Linked DNA regions of Arabidopsis thaliana. The protein of the gene in region 2 interacts with the protein of the main gene of each other region in a pairwise test. Each region holds a gene or a part of one and is shown on either strand. Other genes may lie near its edges.

Region 1 (3,661 bases), on a different chromosome or scaffold from region 2:
ATCTTGAGAACAAAAAAAATCATAAACCCTAATACCAAAATCTTAAATCCTATTTAGCTTCTTAATTTAAGCACAAGCAAATAGTGACGCCACAACGGTGGTGGTACGACAAAAGTTCGGCTATAAAGAAAATTGGATGTGGAGACATAAAATGAAGAGAGGAGGAACTCCCTTTAGGGATCCAAGTTATATGTGGAAATTAAATAGATGCTCATTCATTTTAATATTAATCTATTTCTTGATATATACATTCTTTTTTATTTGATGATCATTATGAAATTTTGATAAATTAGTCTTTAATCTTAACATATCGTAGAATAAGAACACAAACAAAAAAAAGTCATCTGTGGAGCTGGCTAATCAGATCTGAATTTATCATAAGCCTTTCTCTTTTTAATTCTAAAATAGAACGAGTTGTATGATATTTGTGTGGCCTATATTGTCTAACAAATTTTTTAAAGTGGGAAATTATGGTCATTAACATACTAATAGATGATAATAAAGTATTGCATGGATGTACATATGTGGCTGTGTATTGTTTGCGTCAGCTTGGACAAGTTGCTCTTGCTTTGTGTTTTCCCTCATTTTTTACCCTAACTCACATTCTCCGTTCCATTTATGTCGACAAAACAAAAATGAATGGGATAGTGAGACTCTAATTTACAATTAATGGTTAAAGATATTTCCTATAATTTTAAAAAAAAAACTTTTTTTGTCAAAGAAAACAAAAACAAAAACATTGAACAGTTTTTTAAATTTTGATGATTTGCATTATTACAATATCATAAAGTTAGTGGACTTTTATTTATCGCTTATTCATTTGATGATACTTACAAAAAAATCACTTTATTTTCCCTTCTTTTCCGACAAAAAAACCCGATATTTATATATTACAAAAAAAAAACACAAATAGAGTTTTGTACACGTATCATTATGGAGCTCACACCCGCTCCAAAAAAAAAAAAAAAAAAAACCTTTCTTAGCTAACACCAAAAAACTCAAAAAAAAAACAAAAACAGCAAAGGGTTTTAAAAACGTGATTAAACAAAACATTATGGCAATGATACAAAATAAACTGTTTTAAACAAAACATTATGGTAATGATACAAAATAAACTGTTAGAGATCCCATGACAAGCCATGGCCAAAATTAGGGCTAATTCCGTGACCATAGTTATCTTCGGACGACTGTCCCCACGGCGGCGGATATAAACAGTAGTCAACTGAGTCATAGAAGACAAACTCGTTCCCAAGGTTAGCCGAGTCGACGTCGTAACTCGCCCCGAGACTTGGAAGCTCCACAATCTCACCGAGCTCCTCCGACTCAGTCCTCGAGAGGTCCATCACCAACACAAGAGACTCGAGCGAAGACGTAGAAGACAAAGACGACGACGAAGACGTGGAAGATGAAAACGACGTCGTCGGTTCCATGTGAGCTGCTTTAAGAGCTGCTGTCTGAATGTCTCGAGGGCTTAATGAAACGGGTCGAGGGAATGAGTCAGCGAGTTCAGGGAAGTTTAGTATAGCGGCCGTTCCTTTAATGCTCAGAGCCGCCACGTCGTGTGCACGCGCCGCCATCTCCGGCGTCGGGAAAGTTCCCAGCCAAATACGTGATTTCTTCCTCGGCTCACGAATCTCCGACACCCATTTTCCCCAGTTCCTCATCCTTACTCCGCGATAAACAGGGTGTTTACCGGAGTCTCTCCCACGTTTAGTCTTCTTCTCGCTTTGCTCAGCTTTGCTTTTGTCACTCACTGAGTCAGACTCCGAGTTAGGGACAAGAAGCTGAGTTACTCTCTCCGAGCGGAGGCTGTAGTATTCCTCTGCCATTGTGTTAGCTTAGGCACAAGTATCGTACAAGTCTATTATTCTGATTGCTTTTTTCGATTCGGATCCCGAGATTAATGCAAATAAAAAGAAATAGCTAGGCTTCAGGGGGAAAAATATATAAGTTTGAGAACTATTCAAAATGAGGAAAAAAAACAGGGCAGTGAAGTGTGATGAAGAAATGAGAGAGAAACTTTGATATGAGAAGAGAAAAATGTTGGTAAAATTTTGGCTATCATTTCTCAGTCACTCAAAATATTTATATATGCATTAATATATTTGGGTACGGGTTAGAAGAGAGGGAATGGGACCAAAAACAATGCAATAAGTCTAATTGAATAAAGGAAATGGACCCAGTGGCTCCATTTATTTTTGTTTTTCTCACAGACCCACTCTATTTCTATATTGTGAATATATTGTTATTAGTATAAAACGACACACTTGGGGTCACTGTTTGCTTTAATATTTTTCCCGGTTCTTAAAATCTCATTATGCAACTAAATTAGGAAAACAAAATACTTTTCAGTATATTAAAAGATTATGAGACGACCATATTTAGAAGGGCAGTGTTGAAAAGAGATTTTGTCTCGGCCGGGTACGTAAATTATATGAAAGTTGTCTCCGAGATGAACATGATGAGACAAGCCTTTTTTGTTTTGTGTGGTAAGATAATTTTCACCTCAGTTTTACTGTTTAATTATCCTTTACCTTGATCTTCGACTCATTGGATCATACATTCCTATTTACATATTGGTATATATATATGCTCATCATGTGAAGGCAATATGTATCCACATATATGATATGCCATAATTGCAATTTAGTTTTGATCAGAATTAATATACATATTATTTACACGGATATAGAGTTATTGTCTTTCAAATTTTGATTTTCTATAAACATATTATATGAATGTCAACAGTTTTTGAAGATTTATTCAGGAAATTTTTTTAGTAAGTATCATATGTTTACTTTAGTTATATATATCGAGGGCTAATTAAAGGAACTTGTCTTAACCAATAAACCATATGCTTCGAGGCTAAATTTTAAATTTTGGAGAAATTTGTAACTGAGTGTTTTTTTTCGAGACACCAAATGGTGTGTGATTAATTGCACAATTTGTACTGATTTCATTTGAGAGGATATTTTATACTTAGACTTGAAAAGGTGTACTAAAGGGGGTTTAACCGTAAGTAAATTGATAATTAATACCTCTGTCCTGGTCTTAGAAAATATATGGGCGTAAGACCCATAAAAGAAAGAAATCTACCAGCCAATTGATATTAATTAGGTTAAAGTTGCTTCCAAACTAAAAAAAAAAGCCCCCAAAATTAGAGGTACAATATTGCAAATAAAGAAAAGAAGTTTGTAGAGGAAACTTCAAGAAATTTTAAGGGACAATAACTTGTTCAATCATGGGGTCGTATTTGCGTACCTATAAGGAAGGACGAGTGTCTGTCAAATATACACATACACTAAAGTCTTTTAATAATCATGCCAAAAAAATGTCTCTTAATGACGAAAAAATAATGTCTCTTAATAATCATTTTGGATTTTTCACAAGTAATAGCAATGTCTAAGTACTTGCAATGAAGAGAATTGTTTGTATTTTCGCCTCTCGTTTCAGCAATACGTATATGCATTTTATATTGATCATATACGTAATACTAATTAACAATAATATTGATCATCTTAAGTTTACTAAAAAAAAAAAAAAACTGGTCAACAAAGGTTTTAGAGTTTACAAGTTTCTAATTCAAAAATTATTGACATGAATATATTGACTCTTGCTTTATATTTATCCTAGTTAAACAGATTTTATGTGAGATTCTTAC
Region 2 (3,851 bases):
ACGGAAAAACAAAAGTTTGAATGATTTTTATACTTTGGCAATTAACGGAAAAACAAAAGTATAAAATGCAGTTTAATATATATTTTATCCGTTAACCGAAAAAATATATATTAATTAATGATTTAACTTTGGCAAACTGCATTTTACTGAATAGCTTTACAATTAAAACAGACTCACCATACAAATAATTTTACATATATTATTGATTTTTTTGGCTTATAATACTTTTAGTTTCTGAAATCAAAATTTATGGAAACAAAAGTATCTTCTTATTTATCAAAAAGTAAGTCACAACAGCCCAAAATATCTGTAGGCTAGAAACTGCATTAATTATTTTAGCATATCTGATAGTATGAGAATTGAGTGTATAGGGGGGGAAGATAGATGGACAAAACAGGATTCAAGTCCGAAAGAGTTGGGCTATGTTTTCTGCTGAATACACATTTCGACCCAATTAGTTAAAATAATTCATCCTTTTCGTTTTCTCTAGCTAATTAAGTTCCTACACATATCCTTCGAGAACAAAAATCTAACACACATGCATGTTAGCTGCTGAGTCATTTGGTAACACGGTTCACATACAAAAGGGCTTTTTGAGACAAAATATTTATAAATGAATGACTAATCATCATATGGAGATTTCATCATTAAGCAACTTAGATTCTTTGTAATCTAACCCCAGATATTTCTGAAATAGAAGATTTGTTAAGTTTTTTTTTATATAAATAAAATACAAAATTTATTGGGATAAACGTGTTTACATCAATTGCATCGTTTGTTTAAGTACATGAGTAAAATCAAGAATTTAGAATGGAAAGAAGAAATGTTTGTTATGTCGATCCGAACCAAGATTTGTTAAGTTAAGACCTCTTTATCATTCATCATACATATTTATGAAGAACACCGAACATGCAAAAGAAAACAAAACAAAACATAAAACTCAAAAAGAGAAAAAAGAGAGATTCGTTAATCTCTATTTGTACACCTAAAACTCAACACCAAAACTTGTAATTAAGACCAGCCACAAAAAAAGAACCATTCACTCACTGCACACCAGTCCAAGCTCAATCTTACACGTGTCCTCATCCTCAGACGTGCCACACCTCTCTAACTTTCTTTTCTTCATCGGTACCACCACGTGATTTCCACGTGCTAAAGGCTCCAACCCCAAAGTCAGCTCAAGCCCGATCCAAGTCTTTGGTTCCTCCGTCGTCGTCTCCTCAGAAGACACCGGTGACTCGTGACTCAGTGACGACTCATGACTCAAAGACCTCACGTTTCTCTCTTCCTTGCATGCACCACGGCTCCGTCTCTTAACGTTCTCGTCCCTGCTTGACACGTGTCTTATGTCGCAAAGCTTGTTGTTAAAAGGAGGTGCTTGACCAGTAACCGCTGCGTCGCATGCGATCGGAGTCACGGGTGAGCCTCTCATTACTGCCTCAACGGCCGCTTGACAAAGATGCCAGTTTCCTGACCACAATAACCCCACGGATCCGTATATCGGATTCACAATCCTCCCGCATGCTTCGTACAACAATGATCTAAATATCGCTGCAAAAACAAACAAAATTACCAAATTATTAGATGCATGTTAGAAAAATAAACAGGATCCTACGTTTCCTAAAAAGATGTATGAGAGATTCCGTCCAGAACTTCGCAATTAACCATAACAAACAAAAAACATAACATGCATGGGAAGTTTGAATACCAGGACGGAGGTGGTCAGGACCGGTGTTGAGGAGGTTCATGAGCCCCGCACGGCCATAAAACTTGGCGAGGAAGACGGTGGCGTTGGCTTGAGATTCAGCGGATTTGATCCATTGAAGACAAGGTCTTATGCTACAGTTTTCACTGCAGCCTTTTCGTAGAACTCGACATCCGTTACAACTCATACGCATTTTAGATGGGAAACAAAAAACAAAATGTGTTTTGGGTTTGAGGGAAAGTACAGAATGGTCCAGAGATCTTAGAAGAAGGAAGAGGTATTTAAGAGGGAGAAGCTGCTTGGGTTTGGTCGGAGAGATCATAACAATTAACAAGGAACGAAGTTGTCGTTTTCTTTGTGTGTAATTTTTTTCAAAAAATAAATAAATTTGTGACGTGCATGTTATATTTTTCTCTAAATGGATATCGTAATTTTCAAAGTATAAATAAGATGTAAAGAGCCCAAAAAAGAAGAGTTTTGTAATTGTTTTTATATTTTGTATGAATTATTTTAGTAAATTACGAGAATATTACCTTTATTTAGGTAAGTAATTTTTTCAAACTGTTATTATGTGTTTATAAAAATAAACAAAGCTTCTCATACTATTTGTATAGTTATAAAATTTTAAAATCTTTAATTTTCATGGTTTATACATTTTGTTTGTTTGTTTGTAGTTACTAATAATATATATTTTTTTTTTTGGGGAAAATAGTTACTAATAAATATGAAATATATATGGAAGCCCGTTGAGCTTTGTCTTTGGCTCTCATTCGTAGCGCGTGATCATCATCGACGAAAATGTCCAAAACCAGTCAAGTATTTTATTTTTTTGGTTAGTTGTTTATATCTGACCGCCGTTTGTTTTTGTCTAGACCGCAGTTTAATGTTCGGCAATTAATAATGGACTGCCAAAATATTTGGAGATAGTAAATTTTGAAAACGAAATTACTAGAGGGTAAAATGGTAAATAGAGAGATGAGAGGTTCGAATTTCAACGTTCGCATGCAAGCGCAAAAGTGTGATCGCGTGGCGGAGACATTGTGGTAACAGAGTTTGGTCGAATCGCCGCGTTTTCTGAGCGGTTACACATTATGTAGCTCCATACATAATTCTGATAATTAATATTAATATCCAAATACCTACTTAATAAATTATCTTAATGGAATCACTTTGACTTCTATAGGCTCTAGTATATATCAACATTAATATCGAAAGACCTACTAATAAATTATCTGCATGGATCACTTTGACTAATATAGGCTCTACAATTTTTACTTTTAGGTGAATAGATGCCAACGTTTATTGGTTAGATTTGGTAGTTTCTTCCATTGAAACACCCATCATTGAATGGTGATGTTTGAATTATTTCTATTACTTCTTTAATAAAATAAAGAAAAAAACGCACACACAATCTATTAATTATTATTAAGGTTTAGAAACAGTTAAAAATTAAAATTATAGAAAATATATAAATATCTATCAAAAATGTTAAAAATGTCAAATCGCAAACAAAGTTTAGATAAAATATTTATTTAAGTATATCAAACATTATATAAACATTTATAATTATTTATATAAAGATAAAACTTAGTTAAAAACTAGAAAAATACAGTAAAACAAAATATATATAATTTTAACGGATAAAACGATTTATTTTTTCTTCTGCCGGCTATCACACGATTAATACGATTGTCTCCACTTTAACTAATAATATAATCATGCGAACAATCATAACTATAGCTAGTAGACTCTATAGAGTCAATTTTTCTGAAAGACCAGTTACAGACGAATGTGAAAGCTATATATGCTATATGATATATACTAGTATGAAATAAATTTGTTGTCGTTTCAGGTAATTTAGAAGACCTGTATAAAGTTGTACAATAATTTTCTATATCAAATAACTTAACATATTGTAAGATAAACAATAAGTCAATAACCTAATTCCTATATGTATATATATTATGTTTTTGAAAAATTCAAATGGTATATATACATGTTTAGATAGACGTATGGATAAATACAGTTTCAACCAAATTATCATATTGCTATAGAAGTGATTGACAAACAGATATGATAATTCATTAAAATAAAAATGCATAGGTAAGAGGTAGAAAAATAGATGCATACAAAATATAAGCATACG

The links.
Region 1: the proteins of LBD40 (region 2) and TINY2 interact in a two-hybrid assay, tested with the Arabidopsis thaliana proteins (one large-scale study listed by BioGRID).

Annotation. Positions count from the first base shown.
Region 1 is NC_003076.8:3,726,671-3,730,331, forward strand, and holds TINY2 (Integrase-type DNA-binding superfamily protein), read right to left. Parts: upstream 2,057-3,661; 5' UTR 1,830-2,056; coding exon 1,119-1,829; 3' UTR 783-1,118; downstream 1-782.
Region 2 is NC_003070.9:25,051,848-25,055,698, reverse strand, and holds LBD40 (LOB domain-containing protein 40), read right to left. Parts: upstream 2,027-3,851; 5' UTR 1,899-2,026; coding exon 1,709-1,898; intron 1,552-1,708; coding exon 1,040-1,551; 3' UTR 835-1,039; downstream 1-834.